Linked DNA regions of Drosophila melanogaster. The protein of the gene in region 1 interacts with the protein of each later gene in a pairwise test. Each region holds a gene or a part of one and is shown in the gene's direction. Other genes may lie near its edges. The genes, in order: CG17778, CG14071, CG6398 and CG12589.

The links.
Region 2: the proteins of CG17778 (region 1) and CG14071 interact in a two-hybrid assay, tested with the Drosophila melanogaster proteins (one large-scale study listed by BioGRID).
Region 3: the proteins of CG17778 (region 1) and CG6398 interact in a two-hybrid assay, tested with the Drosophila melanogaster proteins (one large-scale study listed by BioGRID).
Region 4: the proteins of CG17778 (region 1) and CG12589 interact in a two-hybrid assay, tested with the Drosophila melanogaster proteins (one large-scale study listed by BioGRID).

Annotation. Positions count from the first base shown.
Region 1 is NC_004354.4:492,655-496,884, forward strand, and holds CG17778 (uncharacterized protein), read left to right. Parts: upstream 1-1,959; 5' UTR 1,960-2,062; intron 2,063-2,123; 5' UTR 2,124-2,415; coding exon 2,416-2,463; intron 2,464-2,814; coding exon 2,815-3,150; 3' UTR 3,151-3,715; downstream 3,716-4,230. Other genes in the region: CG17896 (uncharacterized protein), read right to left, coding at 734-763.
Region 2 is NT_033779.5:10,887,098-10,890,636, reverse strand, and holds CG14071 (uncharacterized protein), read left to right. Parts: upstream 1-1,709; 5' UTR 1,710-1,858; coding exon 1,859-2,269; 3' UTR 2,270-2,361; exon of another isoform or gene 2,362-2,368; intron 2,369-2,419; 3' UTR 2,420-2,992; downstream 2,993-3,539.
Region 3 is NC_004354.4:17,828,837-17,833,867, forward strand, and holds the start of CG6398 (uncharacterized protein), read left to right. Parts: upstream 1-1,991; 5' UTR 1,992-2,484; coding exon 2,485-2,610; intron 2,611-5,031.
Region 4 is NT_033777.3:5,136,501-5,140,538, reverse strand, and holds CG12589 (uncharacterized protein), read left to right. Parts: upstream 1-1,549; 5' UTR 1,550-2,925; intron 2,926-2,965; exon of another isoform or gene 2,966-3,044; 5' UTR 3,045-3,061; coding exon 3,062-3,352; 3' UTR 3,353-3,482; downstream 3,483-4,038.

The DNA of each region.
Region 1 (4,230 bases):
GGTAAACAGCCAGTACAAAAGGTATGAACTCCGATCGCTAAGCGTACTTTATTTTCCCACTTCCACGTATACTAAACCAAAAATTTACCATTTAGTCCACCTTTCATTTGCTTTGCAAATTGCCCAGTGCTCGCAATCCTAACCTCAACGGCCGGACAAATCCGTTTAATGTGGGGTGAGGTCTATTTTTTTGGGTGTTGATAACTTGAGTGGTAGGCGCGCGGGGGGCAGCCGCCCACGCTTATCAGTGTCCATCTGGCAAATTCGAGATTTTCATGGCGCGCCTGTCGTGGAAAGGTACCGCTTATCGCGTTTTATTGGATTTAACGTCAACTCAAACATTGTACCGCTAAATTCCCCGCGAATTCGCCTTGTGCGCTTTATCTGCTTAATATTCTGGTTCTAGTTCTACTTCTTCCGCTTCGCAGCGACGTATTGCGTAACATGTGTTGTTTTCAACTGCCCGTTCGCCGCTCACACCCGTGGGCCATTCCAATCACTAGAGTGGGTGGAGTGTGAGATGGGCGCCGAAAGTGCATACATTACATGCCCAAGGCCAATCGCATCGCCAATTACCGAATTCACGGCCACACCAGTGTCAGAGAGAACGAGAGAGAGCGCCAAAACGATCCAAATGCTGATGGATGGATGCACGTATGTATGTATGTCAGGGTGAGGATGGCAGCCTAGCATGCCTATAGGACATACACCCACCCACCAATTGGAAACTCACCTCTGCTCCGATCAATCGCACTAGGGACATCTTGGGGATACGGAGATGAGAATTTGGTGCGGGGATCGGATCGCGTGCTCTCCGAACGGTGGCTACACTGAAACTGAACGCAGCGCAGCCGCCCATTTCTGATGCCAGTTATTCTCCACTGTTCTCTACACATATACATGAATGGAAATATATATGTACATATATCTGTATAGGTTTGAGGTAATGTATGGTGGTGTGGTGTGGTATTGGCATGGTGTGGCGATTGTTGATATACGAAGGCGAAGGCGAAGACCACGTCAAAAAGTGCTTTACATTAGCAAGTGGTTATAGTTTGATGCTCACACACACGTGTACACGCACATATGTATGTAACTTGCTACCGCACACACCGTTAGGAACCGGGGGCACAGCTGTTGTTTTTGTGTTGCTCTGTTTTCGCAATTGTTGCTGTTGCTGTTTTTTGGGGGCTCGTTGTGAGTATGTGTGTGTGAGTGTAGTGCTTGCTTTGCGGTGTTTGCGTTCTTGTCAATTCCCTGCTGGAAGGGAATGTTAGCTATGGTGACGGCAGTGTAGTATTGTAGTACCCAAATGCATACTCTATGGTTAATCAATTTTATGGTAATCAAGCCAGTTTATGTGTTCCAGTTAGATTGTAACAACTTTTTAAGTGTACAACAGTGGAAGTGTATTGGATCTTCGATGCTAGACATGCTGAACTGGCTTAGGGTATTTATAAACACCGGCGGATCCAATGTAGTATATTTGTGTTTTTCCATCAACGTATGTACATATGTACATATGTACGTATGGACACATGTACATATGAACTTAAACGAAATGTAATCAAATATTAATACTAGTGCTTAACCGAGGATGGAAAAAATAATCAATTAGGTGATAAGTGCTTCCTAGCTGAACAGATAAATCCTAAAAATGTTTCCTGGAACGCAGTGTGGACAGAAGCAGGCTGGCGCATTTTTCACTTTCTGAATGAAAATTTGTCTGCCTGCTTTTAGGCTTTTGGTCTATTAAAATAGCAAGTTCGCTTTCATCATCGGGCAGGGTAAGCTTTTGCTAGCAGCCCCGCTTCCTGGTCAACATAATCAAAAGGACTAGCCTGCACCGGGAAAACAAAATCCATGGAAATAGATGCAACACAAATGAAAGGCTTTCTCTTTTTTAAAGAAAGTGGTTTGCTTTGTCTCTCAATGGGACAATAGTAGCTCCTTTCTGCTCTTCAGTGATGCCCACCGGTAGTTGAATCAAGGAATTACAAAAAAAAAGTTCTGTCATTTGAAATCCATAACGTTTACAAAAAATCCATTGGCTTCGAAAAGTGTAAGCATATACTAAAAAGAATTCGATTAAATATAGCATATTTTTATACGTTGTTTTTAAGCAAGCTAAAGAAGTACCAGCACTGCCACTCGCTCTTTCTCTCGCTCCCTCTCTTGCTGCGGAATGCGGAAGTCAACTTGTGTGCAGGAGCATATAAATAGTGGGACCAATCGCAGGACTCGCTCACTCTGCTCGGAGAGCTTGGACTGGACTGTCAGCGCTCCGGACGACGCGCCTTAAGTTAGGCAAAAACAATTTTGTTATTTGCCGCAGTATGGACTTGCTGCGCTGACTTACTACTTACTGTCATGCCAAGAGGCTGAGGTCGAGAGGCAGCTTGGGATCTGGAAAAGATGGAGGCCACGCCGGGCTACCAGGACATCAGCGCTCTGGAAAAATCGGTGAGCTTATCGACCAGGCAAACAGAAATAGCCACTTATTCATTCAGAAGTATAGGCACTCAGAGTGTAGTGAGAGAAATTAGGGACACTCCATGGCGGTCTATTACAATCATAAGCCACATTGTCAGTTGGTGCCGAAATATGAGTATTTAAGATCTTTGTCCAAAGTACCTAAATGTAGACTGTTAATCCAAGTTTATCGAACTTAATTTAAGATGTTGTTATCAGGATTTGATCATAAGTTCTCCTGGGAATATCTTTTCAATGCTTCCCTAAGCTGAAGAGAGAACGGAAGCGGCCAAAATTCAATTACTTAATCCATAGGTAACCTACATTTCCCTCTGCTTCAAGGTGGCCAATGCAGGATCGCAGCTGTACACGATGGCCCACAAACTGCACGCGGTGGAGCGCAGCCTCGAACAGACGACGATGGAGCAGATGGACGAGATGGAGGTCCTCGAGTTGCTCGAGTCGATGAGCGAGGTGACCAACGAGTACCAGAATCTGCGCAAGGACATTCGCGAGGTGCAGCAGTTGCAGCGTGACGTCAGCAGCTCCATACGGTACCAAATGCGCAGCATGCAGCAGACTTTTCACACTCTAAAACAGCGGATAGCTAGCTCCCAGAAGGGTCGCAAAAAGCCCGAGAAAGGGCTCGATGGAGCAGGGGTTGGTATTCATGAATAATCAATGACCCTATTGATTGGCCTCCCTGGCGAATAGGTGCGGTAAATGTGTCAATGGGGACGCAAATGTAGGGACTAAATTGGCACCAATCTGAAGCAATCAACTGTGTAACTATATATCGCAAGCCCACTCCAAGCATTTAGACTCGGAAAAAAATCCTATACTTTATATACATGTATACACATTAAGAAAACCACACCCATTGTATGCGAATTAAGGTTTTTTTTTGGTGTTTTATTCCAGTGATAGGCAGGAATAACGAAAACTCACTGCTCTAAGAACACAAAAACACAATGCTTAACACAGAGTAAACAACATTTACGATGATATGCGTTCTTTAGGACGAACCGGAATGTCTGAATGCACTTTTCCAAATTTTGCCTTAACATAATAGTATTTTGAGGTAGTTTTTGATACGACACGTTTTAAAAGATAATATATAACAGACCGTACATATTTAGGCCACACACAATGGTTATTCTTGTGTTAGTTTCATTTTTGGAGATTTATTTGTTGAGCTCTAGAGAAAATAAAAGTTAGTTAAACCTCGGGAGACGAGGAACGCATATATTTAAATCTGGCGCCATCCGGTTGTCAACAACAACCTTCTGGCAACTCCTCTAAGTCGCATCTGGCAATGTCATCTGATCGCAGCCGAGTGGCAACAGTGGTCGCTGCTGCGTTCGCGTACTTTCGTGACTTCATTTGCGATTTTATTTATATTCTCCGTGTTGCGAATAAAATGTATGTATCATGGCAGTTGTTTAAGAAGCGAATATACGCTGATTCATCCTAGGCTGGCGAGAAGATCATTGCGAAAAAAGTGTACGAAAAGAAAGTGCAATAACTGCAGCTCTATTGTGCGCGCATCTGGGTGTGCGTAGATCTTTGCATCGGTGTGTCGGTGTTTTTTTACGTTTGTGTGCGTGGCGTGCCCACATTTGTGGCACAAGTTTAAAAATTGGCACTAAGAAAGTTCAAGAAAGTGGTTCTGGGGAAAATAGTTCATTCATTCAGCATCCACTTTCTGTTGAAAGTGGCGCGCCTGCGTTTTGTGTCTTAATCATCGCATTGCTGCCT
Region 2 (3,539 bases), on another chromosome or scaffold:
AAACTAGGTGCACGCATTCTAGCCCCCCCCCCCCCCATTTCCTTCATTTCCCAAGGACGAATATCCAAGCCTATCCTTCCGTTCGCAATTTTCAACTGACCACCTTGTGGCGCAAGCAAGAAGTGGAAGTTACTCAAGCTAAATTTTCCCGCAAGTGATTTGCATAACTGTAGGCAGATGCCAATGGCTGTTGCTCATCACATTGTTTGGCATTTTAAGGGGCGAGTTATAGAGAAATGTTCGGAGAAAACCCCATGAAATCCTTCAGTAAGCCGGCTTACTGACTGACTGAAGATAACCTAAAAGTGTGCAAAGCCTATTAAGCTGGCAAAGCCAAGAGCAAACGAATAAATGAAAAAATCCAAGTGGATAGAATTGTTTGTGAACTACTCGTAAAAATGTAACTTCCATAACTGAGTTGGAAATTGCTTAATTTGACGGGGCTGGTCCGAAAATCGAGTCTACCGAATATCATATACCGTGCAGGAGTTTAAAACGGAAAAGTCGAAGATGATCAGATATCAGATAGTAAAAATGGTAGCCATTTTTTAAATCATTGTGATATTGTTAACAATACTTTTAAGCAAAAAAACAAAGATATATTTATTAATATATATTTAATATGTATTTTCATTATTATAATTGGTACCAGTTTCGAATGCAAATTTGCATATTAATTATTAGTGTAGATGTAATTATAATTCATTGGTCTTGAATAAATACATGTGTAATATTTGTTTGCTAAATAAATGAAACAACATACCCCTCATACTACCTCACAATCAGAGCACAAAACTACGCACCATAAATCTTACGGCCAGTGGAAAGGGACTGGGAATTTGGGCAGGGCAAAAATTATTACATGCCTCATTTGGCAGCGCCTTGAAGAGTCTGCTTATTATATTTTGATTATTTTCGGCACGCGTGTTTCGCAGGACCTCAAAGCCAGGATCTCCGCGTCGAGAGCTGTAAACAAATTCGTGAAATACGCAGACTGGTCAAGGGGCGGATGTCGATTTGCAAGGACGAGGAGGATAAACAGGACAGCTGGGTTTTTTTTTTTTTTGTTTTTTGTTTCGGTTGCATAATTTTTCATTTTATTTTTGGACTCGTTTGGCCTGCTTTTGTCCATAATGAGATATCTCTATCCTCCTTTGTTTCTTTTCATCATTTTGTCCATTGTGTTTCGGTGCTTGTTGTTTTTGCATTTCGCGAAATGCCGCTGGGAAATTCTTGTAACCAACAAAAAAAAAGGAGCAAAAATCCACTGGGCTCAAATGGCAATGATGGCGTCGAGGTGGTCTTATTAATTAGGACACGCGCCCTGAGTTGTATATATTCCCAAATATTCTCCACTTCAAATATACACGTGAACCTCAAAAGGGACCGCTGTTATTGTTATTTAAATGCATGGCAAGATTCTCTTTCAGAAAGCTTCCCTTGATTGCCAAATTTTGATTAGCATATAAATGCAGAAGGGACAAAAAGAAACTATATCTTTGTGCCGTTAACTCGTGGAAAATTTTAAACTTCAACACATTCTTGTCCACTAAAAAGAGATAGTACGAAAAATAACTATTTGAATGATAGTTTACAATGCTTCTGCTATCATCTACTCGTAATGCATTTCGGCTTAAACAATTTTTGAATGTAATGATCTATTTCCTTTTTTAACTACAGTCTTTTTGTTTTTTCTCGAGTATTCAGTGGACGCCAGCAACACATATTTACCAATCATAAGTAGGTAGCTAGAAACTGTTCGGATTTAAGGAACAAATTTATTGCTAAGTTAAATCAAATACTGCTCCACGTAGAAAACCACAAACTCCTTTCAACGGCGTAACTACACTGTGCAGCAATGTCCAGATCGGCAAAGGGCTTTGGTCGTTTAATCAATCCGGGCGTGGTACTCCATCCGGAACTGCATCAAAAGATGGCCGACTTTGAGGCCATGACCATCGAGCGATCTGATTTGGATCACGAATTGAGCCGATTGCGCAAGCAGCAGGACGATACCGAGGATAATTTGGCAGAGGCGCTGGCCGAGGACGAGTTCCAGTGCAATTTGAGTGGCCAGCCATTCGTTGCTCCCAACGAGGACGAGCTGCAGGAAATTCTGAGGAATCACCTCGGTAGCATTATCAACAAGCTGGCTGCCACGTACGAGCGCCTTATTTACCTGGATGCGGACATCAGGAAGCTGAAGGGAGTCATTGAAAAGGCCATCACAGTGGCTAATGAGGAATCGGCAGCAGCCGCCTCAATGTGAAGATATGTATTTAACCATTACATACGTTGTACTTCTACATATGTGTATCTTGAAAATTTCAGTTCGATTTAATGTGCAAGTAAAGTTTGCAAGTATGTTAAATGATTCGAAATTGCAAGGGCTATGTAAACATGTATTTGTATTCTCCAGCTTTGCCATATGTACCCGTGTGCCGTCGATAATCAGTAAAATATGTGTTACTTTTGGATAATGAAGTCCACGTTCGATGCAACGCGAAATCCATTCACACATTCCGCTGGACATCTTAAATCATTTTGGGTGAAATTAAAGCCGCAACAATCTCATTTCCGGTAATTCTTTATGCACTCGCGCACAGACAATCCAATGCGAGCCAGAAGACACTGCAAATTTAATTGCGTATACGCAATGTTGCCACTGCCGTCGCGGAAACAGCATCCGCTGCGGCAGCAGCTACACTCTGCTGACTCTATCGTTAAGTGCATAAATTCAATAATGCCGAGCGTCTGGCGGTGTCAACGCGCTGCAAATATATAGACTCGCCGGATCGATAAAGCTGAAGCTTGAAAATTTATGGAATTTCCTGTGCATTGAAAATGGTCGCCATTTACTGAATATATTTAAGTAAACTACAGCTCAAAACAAAAATGCATATGTTATATATTGACTTTACATAAAACCCCAAAATGTTTAGAAACATAAGAAATTAATTCTACTTGGATAAAGTTAAACTTAAACAATTCTATACCAAACTGTAACTTTAATTGCCAAGGGGACCACAAAATGGTCTGCGCTTACATGTATAAGGATGCAATTGCATATTTGTTGTTACTTTGCTTTGGTTAAACATTAATAGTCGGAGAATTGAGAAGGAAGTCGAGGTATATTTGAAGAAAGCCAGACTTATGGGCCCTGTCCTGTACTCTAATTAATTAAATTGAAGCGTTCGACGACGAGGTAACAATTTCAATTTTATTCCCGTGCCAGCCAGACTGGTCAAACAAGCCAAATGCAAATTTCCCAACCAGACATGGGTCTTAACAAGAACATTTGCATGAAGTCAATCATCTCGACCATTCTGGCCAGTGAACCGAAAATAAGACACTTTGGGTCTGTACCGCTGTGACTCTGATTGCCTTTCATCCCAGTCAATTGGAAAATTCGCACTAACAAAGCATTTGTGAAGGTTCGAAAAATGTCGGATGTATTTCATATTTTTACTTAATTTTGATTCCTGTTTGTTAAAAGCACATTTTAAAACTCCCTCGTTGCGCTAATCGCTTTCCAGCCA
Region 3 (5,031 bases), about 17 Mb from region 1:
GAAAACGAATTATATGAGCAGTGTGAGAGAGAGAGGGAGAGGGGTAATGGGGCGCAGAAAGAGACAGACTGACTGACAGTCAGACACTCGAGGGGCCAAAAACTTTTGGCCAGCAATTGAGAACTGAACTCAACTGGCCAACATGCCAATGCGATCCGATTACAAACATTGCTTTATAAGTGCACGGCTATTCTTGTTGTTATTTAGGTAATTCTGGTATTTCCACACTCACACATACGACACTTACAATGCCCGTCAATATGGTAGTTTCCAATTTTGTTACATTTTGCCAGAGAATAACTAATTAACATGGTACATTTAAAGCGTACGTCTTTAAAATTTGGGAATTTCATGGTCTAGAACTAATATAATCAATGTGTATCACGTTAAAGATGAAAAATAGGACAAAATAATAGCAAAGCGTATCCAATTTATACATTTAAAAATGAATCAAACAGCACCTCTTTAGGGTATTAAATTCTTTCAGTTTTTAGGCGATTTTCTATATGCATATTTCTTAATTTCTTAAACGCTGCTATCTCTCTGCCCGCCACTGTGCTTTTGCTGCTGCAGTCGAGAGCGCGCCCAAAAATGCAATTGAGAAAAACCCACGCCATAAACAGAAACCCAAAATAGACAAAGGCATTAAAGCCGATGAAAATCAACAACAACAACAGCAAGTAGACGCAGCGAGATGCCAATGCCGCACAAACACAAACACCTATCTCTATATGGATATGTCCGTACACGAGATGTCTGTGTGTATATATTTTTTACCTGCGCAGTCGCAGCATCTTTGGGTCAATTGCACACTGCGAGAAATCGGCTGCGCCCTGATTAGCAGCGGGCGGTGGAAAAGGCCGAACTAATCGCACTCATGTGGGCGGAATTTCAGATTAGGCATTTGAATATACAAAAAATTCTCGCCCCAGAAGTTAATGACTCTCTATCAGCTGGACGCATTGTTCTTACAAGTCGATTTTCAAATGAACCATTTTAGATATAGGCAAATTCATGCATGTTTATTCAGGCTCAAAAACAAAACCGTTTAAATGGGTGTGCAGGCAATGATATTGACGTGTCAAATAATGATATTCACATTCCGCAGAAACTCCAATTATGATCCTTCAGTGTAATGGGTATTTGTTTTTAGGAGCCTGATTCCAATATCTTGCTAATAAAATATGTGGCTCAGTTTTGACAGAGTTACGATCTGGCGTGGCATAACTGCGATACGGTCGAGATATGGGAGCACCAGCACACCCCTTCGAACGCCCCCTTCGAGTTCCAGCCCACCGCCTACGCCCATGTGGCTGTGTGCCTCGCGTCCTACCTTCCTGCCCAGTGGGACTGGGACTCCATTGCACAGGCAGCACCGCATACCAAATACCAAACAAACATACGAAAAGATCAACAGGCTGCTGCTTTGTTGTTGTTTGCCTTTCGTATACCCTAACAAAAGGTTACTAGCTCTTATATATCTAACGTTATTTCTGCAAATCTCAACTGGGCATATGTGTTTACGGGATATCATGATTTGCCTTGTCTATCATCGCGTTTTGTTATCTGGATTATCCAGTGTTGGGTTTTGTAGATGCGTTAACATAAAGTCACAATTAACACAAATCTTACGTTATCGAATATGAAAATCTGAAACTTCGTACATAAATGTATAATGAGCTTATGAAAGATCATATCAAGTTCGCCTCAAATTGGCAGAGATATAAGCATTCTGTGAGGGTATTCCATGGTTCGTTTGCCGAAACAGTCTCTCCTTTCTTGTTTTTGCTTTATCCAGCAGGTAGAAGAGGCACCGTCTCCTTGCCTCCTGCTCCTAACTCTCCTCCCCCCTCAGTCCGGTTGCATTGCAAAGCGCTCAAATGAAACGCCGACTGAGACGCCGACTGCGACTTGAGACTATGGGTATGGGTATGGGTATGGTATATGGGTATTTGGTATTACCTGAAGTCTGGCTCAGTCGCCGACGATTTTCAGTCCGCTGGCGAACGTTGTTGCGATCACAACGTCTTGGCTATCAGTTCTCCGTCTCTTTGCTGCCCAGATTCAGATTCTCAGTTCTCCGTTCTCAATTCTCCAGCTCAGATTCTTCGCCGGCGTGCGTGTGTGTGTGTGTAGTGTTGTGAGCGTGTGCAGTGGAGCCCGTGTCAGTGTGTTAGTGCTGGCCCGTTGCTAAAATTATTATTTTTTTTAACGAACGTTGGCTTTTTTTTTGCTGTGCCTTCCAAACTGGTTGCTGCTCTTTTAACTGTGTATTTGTGCAGCAGCAGTAGCAGTTCAAGAAGAAGCGGCAGAATCTAGCTGCGGAAGAAGAAGACGTCGAAGACGCTAGAGATCACGAAACGAAAGAAAAATAATAGCAACTGTAGTTGTTGTTTTCTTCTCGGGGATTTTCGTTGGATAAATCCCGTATCATAGCCCCAAAATAGCTGAGATTTCGAAACAGATCCGGAATAAAACACCAGCATGCCCTGCTCGGCCGTAACCCTATCTATAGCGACGATCTGCGCGATCATCGCCACCGCCCTGCTGGCGATCGCCTTCTCCACGGATAATTGGCTGCACTACGATGTCTGGCGCAACCAGATACAGGTGAGTCTTCAATCTGCAGTCTACAGTGTCTTTAGTCTTCAGTGCCAGAGAAGGTGGGGGCTACGAATCGAATTAACCCAAGGCCCATCCGCTTGGAATACATAATCAGCTAAGGCCAGAGCCAGCGCCACCGAAATATACGGTGCATCTGCGACTGCGTGGCAGAAGCCACAGCCAGAGACAGAGTTACAACCAAAGCCGAAGACTCTCCCGCTTAAGACGGAGCTTTAGCTCCGCTTACGAGCTCTGCACATTGGTCCCAGAGATGTGGCTAAAGTAGATCCAGGCTGGGATTAGGCAATAGCTTAAGAAATCGGAAAAGATCGGGTTCAAAGTCGTGCAAGACAACGATATAATGGTACGATACAATGGAAATATTTAAAATGGGTAGGGAAATTGAAAATATCCTAATTTAGGCCCTACTTATACAATAGATATTAGTTGTTGAAAATAACTTGCTAGAGTTTAGGACTTCGTCTTCTGGAAAGTATAGCAGAGTACTATATTATATTATTAAATATATTTTGAAAATAAGTGGCTTCATTTCACAAATGCCATTGGAAGCATAGTAAATAAATACGATAAGGATTAAAGTTTTCATACTTAATTAATATTAAAACCGGAACGAATATCTCCATAATTTCCAAGGAATTAAGCCCGTTCGACTATGTCCAGAGAATAATGTGTATTATATTTTACTAATAATAGTAGGAGACATTTAGTTCTACAAACATCTTTGCATATCTTTTAAAATCCGTCCTCTTCCGAGAATCTTATCTATAGCGATGCTTAGATAAACAAGATATGTAATTAAGATGCACTTGCTGACATTTGTGCACTGCATACAGGTGTGCGCGGCCCACTGTGCGGAGTAGGAGGGCGAGAAAAAAGAAGCAGGAGGAGGAGTAGGTGAAAAGGGAGGAGAGGAGCGGAGAGGCAACCACGAAGGCAACAGCAACAAACGGAGGTAACAGTAACAGTCGCTCGTTTTGTGCTTGGCCGAAAGAAAAAGAAAAAGGGCAAGGCGGAGAAGAAGAAAGGTCGAAAGCAAATACACGAACAACTGGCATTGGAAGGAGGTGGGTAGGGAAGAAGGGAGGGAGTGGTGCGGTGTTGATCGAGAGGGGCCTGTGGAGGATGGGCAACGGCCGTTAACGTTCAAACTTTCTACGCGAGCGCTTAGCCAAGCGAAAAAACGAAGAAGAGCCCAGGCAGAAGAGGCCGCAGAAAAAGAAGAAAGGGGCGGTGAAGTGGAAGGAGTACACAATTTTACAGTTTGCATTGCAAATACAGTCAAACTGCGGATTACAACACTTCCCATTCTTCCAAGTAATCTAATTTTCAATTTTATGTTGGTTACTTCACTATTTATGAAATACAACTAGCTAACTGAAATCTCAGTTATAATCCGCCTCTTAAAGGGCCGAAAGCAATCGCAGCATATGTGTGTTTTAATTTCTTTCAAATAAGCAGCAGTTTGTCTTAATGAAGTGGCACTGTAGAAAATCCAACTCCGTCTTGTAGGTGCAGCCGAGAGAATTTTAGATGCGGAGAGCTCTATAGAAATAGGTGTAAAATCGCGGCGGTGTGCGTGCGCATACCAATCATACCAAAACAAGTTAGCTAAACAAAAAAAAAAACAATAAAAAACAAAGCTGAAGAAGAGGAAGAAAAGCACTCAAAGTGTGCTGAAAATATTTGCACGTTTTTCGACTTTGTCGCCTAATCCGAAAGTTTCAATGGAATCGAGGGAACGATAATTGCGGTGAGATTCGTTCGAATCTCGCCCAGCGTCGAAGTCTTCAGAGCCTGGGCACTTATAAAGCCATTAGAAGCAATCGTCTGCCTTGACCTCCCCCATTTTGGGTCATCGCTCCCTTCTCCCCATCCACGTTTCTTGTTCCTCCTCCTCCTCCACCTCCATCTCCTCCATCTCCATATCTCCGTTCTCCTTCGATTTCCGCCCCTGTAAGAGCCTTTGAAGAACCGCTCAGGTGCAGCAGGTAACTCGAGATGGGCTACTTGGCCACAGGAAACCCTAGGGTCCTATGAAGTGCATCCCCAGGGGAGTGGAGAACTAAATACCCACAGCGATTATGAGCGCTACTCAAAGAATGGGAATCCGGGGGAGTCAGTCGAGGGAATCATGATGATGGTGTCAGAATATCATCACTTCCAACCTTTCTTTAGCTAATTACAGATGTTTTCTTCGAAAGAAGTCAAATGGAAACTATTATGGTGGAAAAGGAAGCTCTGTGTTGTTACTTTCCTTTAAATACCCCTATATCTTATATTATCTTTAATTGTATGTCTTGTTGGTATATGTACATTAGATTGCATACTGTTTAGAGTTTAATTCTTCCTTTTCTTAGCCTGCAGGCTGCCCTTTTCCTTGAATTTTCCAGATCTTCGCCCTGACCA
Region 4 (4,038 bases), on another chromosome or scaffold:
GAGCCCATAGTCACAGGACGAATTCACGTGTGCGTTTGTCTCCGCTCCTTTGCGAGTGTGAGTGTGTGAGTGCGAGTACGAGTGTGTGTGTGTGTGTGTGTGGGTGCAGGACGACGGACATGTTGCTGAGGCGCGGCCAATGCTTGTTACGCTTTTGAGCCCCCGCCTGCGGTTGACAGAGCACGTTGAACCACCCACTCCGCTTGGTTCGAGCCGTGCACTTAGCCATCCGCCACCCACCACCAGCCACCCTCCGCCCATCGAGCCATCGTGAAAGCATCCAAACAGGCAGCTTTTCTGCGGCCTGATTCACATTAAAACGCAATTAAAGTTGCAGGCGTTAATTGTGCCGCCTGTGTTGCCTTTTTTTTAACCTTTTCAGCTTTTTGCCGTTCGCTGGTTGTCTTTTTGAGTTAGCTGCCGAAAATTAATTACTTTTGCCCTGTCAAAGTTTCCAAAGTCATTGGAAAGGGGGGAAGCGCAGATATTACGCGAGAAATATAAAATACTCGGCAACTATGAGTAGGTGTGTTCTGGAAATCTATTTACCTAATAAATTGTTGATCTTTGAGAGAGATTCATTTCAGAATTATGAATTATTTGTCCTGTATTCGTAAGCTAAAAACATGAATCCGATTATAAAGCCTTTTTTCTTATAAATCTTAAAACAATTCTACAGAACTTAAATATTCAGTGCCTTCATTCCGTGAAACGACACACATAAAAACATGGCTTTCCTAAATTTAAAATAGATTTTAATGGAAGTTCCACTGTTTGTTTGTAAATGGGAATGCTCGCATGTGAATGTCTCTTAATGAATCAAGTCCATGAATAAAGCCGCAAGTGGGGCTTTTTTCGACTTTTGCTGTGGCATAGCACTATGCGGTGGGCCGGAAGTAAGTGGGCGTGGCAGAAGTCGTTTGGTGCTAATGGGGAGCCGGACACACACAGATATGCACAGATATACAATGATATACAATCGTTCGCTGAGTTTTTCTCGTGCCGTTTCTTTAGCCAGATGTGTAGTAAAATCCTTTGGCTGGCAACTTTATCCTTCGGCGCGGATTCCCAGAAGCAGCTGTTGTTCTTCTTCCCCTTCACTGACGTTGCATTCTGAAAGCGCTGTTTATATCACAGCTTTTCTTATTCCTTTTCATTGTGCCGCCCGTTTTTCGCTTTTGCAACCGTCGGGTGGCTGGCTTAAGCGCCAGTTGCCGGCGACGTGCCGCTGAAATAATTAAGTTGCCAATCCCGGCAGGCTGAATATCAACAGACATCCAGAAAAAGCCAAGATAGAGATGCAACTGGCAATGGAAAGGGTTGCAGGCTTAAACTTAGGTTCATAGATTTTCAATTAGCCTGTCAGGATGAAAGCAGCAGGCGTGGATTTTGTTGTGCTCGATTTTTTTTTTATTTTTTTTTTCTCTTTTTATTTACAATCTGTCTTAAAAAAGTATGACAATAAGTAAATTTTATAATTAATCTTAATTTAACAGAGGCAGTAGTTATCCATTATCGATTTTTAAAATTTATTTAAAACGTTGTTTGGCAAATTGTTTAAAGTCAAAGGTGAGAGATGAGCCACTCCGTATTTGCAATCATCATCAGTGCTATTCCGCAAAGCTCGGACGGCCTTAAAATTGGGCTTTATCCTCGCCTTGGCAACATGTCGCATGCGTATTATCCAGAAATAGCCTCAAGTGCCTGCACCACAAATAGAAAACAAACAGCCAGCCTGCCCACACGCACACTCCCCAGCAAATAGACAGCTTGTCAAACTTTTCGGTTAGAAGGAAATGCGAAACATTCCTCGAATATTACGCATACGCACGGCTGGCGGCCACAACACCGCAACTAAGGCGTTTTCTGTGCATAAGATGTCGCCGGGCAAAGGAAAAGTGAAAACTGCTGCAATTTCCACCACCATTCCGCCCAGTTCACATTCTTTTGACAAGAGCCGTTGGCCTTGTCTCTCGACGAGATGCTTGATCATTAGCATCACAGTCGTAGTGGAGTCGCAGCAAATTGCTATGCTATGCAGTGCGCACTTGGCGAAATGCATTCATGATTTTAGACCATTTTTCCAAAGTGCTCAAATACCGTCAAATATCTTAGGATATCATTTAGATTTCTTTCGAACTTTACTTTAATTTCCGGTCATCCGCCAAATTTTCGGTCATCCGTAAAGTGAATGCCTGACATCCGAATATTTTTTTCCGTGTGGAACGTGCTGCCAATTTACGATTCAGACGGCGCTGCGCCGCCCGAAAAGGAACCCCAAACGATGCAACTGGGTCGGCCGGGTGCAATGCAACTCGTACTCGCACAAAGGAAACAAAGGCACTAAGTTGCGGCGACATGTAGCGCTTTAAGCTGTGGAGAGCGAGCGAGGCCAATGAATACCAAATGAATCGATAGTGCGAAATCGAACTCCGGGGGCAGCGTCAGCAGGGCTGGCATTTTTCTGCTCGGTCGAGCCAGGGTGCGGAAAAGCAATTTCGGTCTGAGCCACCTCAAGTAGCTGCCGCTTTCCCGCCTTTCCAGCCTTTCGTGCTTTCCACTAGGCCAAACGATTTGAAAATTTTACGAACGCACCACTGCGCATTGCTCACAACCAATCGAGGGCATTAGCTGGGCAAAAAATACAAGACATCTTAACCAAACACGGAGCAAATGTTCAATTTCCAAGTCAATCAACTAGAAAAAGTTGCACTCACTCGCTGCGGAAATCTTTTGCGTATAGGTTTCCGGCATGGAATGCTGGATTCTGGGCCCAAAGTTCTTGCAACTCGGAATTAAGCGATTAGATGGAAGTTTGCCACCCAGTTGGCACGCTTAAATTATTCCAAGTTTCCGCTTCTGTCGCCAGCAGATACGCACACTGAAAAAAACTGGGACTCCCACAACTATATAGAATAGGACATAGTATGTATTTGCTTGGCTCTACTTCCAACATGTGTTTAAAATTTTTCAAAAATATTTTGTTCAATTGACATATGTATGTATATTCATTACCAATATAACAATTTACCATTGCTGTGTAGCACACATCAGTTGCACAATGGACGCGCATTCCACAGCCGTCGCAGGCATAGATATGGAACTGGACTTCGGCGAGGACATGGATGAGCACGGAGAATTGGAGAAAGTGGGTCAGCCTGAGAATTTGGTAGCGATGGTGCTGCGCCTGCAGGCGAACCACGTGTGGATCCGGGAGCAGCTGACTCACCTACAGCGCCGCCTGGTGACCCTTCGGCTGGACAAGCAAAGAAGCTTATACGAGGGAAAGGAGCGGTTACAGCGACTCCTGCTGAGCTTGCAGGTGAAACACGGACGCCACTGGGCACTGTAGGGGAATCGATGGACGATGGAGCTCGGAATTCAGGTGACGAAAGTGTAAAAGTACAAGCGAACTATCTTGGTGAAAGATGATGTAATGATGTTCTCAACTTCGTATTAAATATAGTGGTTTTAGAAAGCTTAATCATAAAAGCCTCATTAATGTTAAATTAAGAACGAAAATTACTGAGAAATAGTTTCATAAAGTTTGCAAAGTAAACGATGGTTATGTCCAGTCTTTCTTTTGTATAAATATTATACCGTATATATTATATTGATTTCAGACATAAGTTTAATACGCAGTGAAAAAGACTTTGCCGACCATATATATTTTACTATAAAGTACATATTCTTGATCAGTAATAATATCCTAGTCGATAGAGTCATGTTCATATGGCATGAATCTTTCCCACAACTTCTATTTTTGCTGCTGGTGGTAAATAAGGCTAAGTTGGACCATAATATCACAAGCAGCCACAGGAATAATCGAAAAGTGAAATCATATAGTTTTGATTCGTTACACACTAGTATTTTAACAAATATTTAATTACTGCAAAGGCTTGGCTTATTAAGAGTATTAAGAAGTTTTACACGGCACTTCCACGAGTCCTTTCAATTATCCAACCTGATGACAGCCTGATGACAGTCCCAGCCGAACAGGAAGGCCAGATTTGTGGCCCACACAATCATAATTGTTGA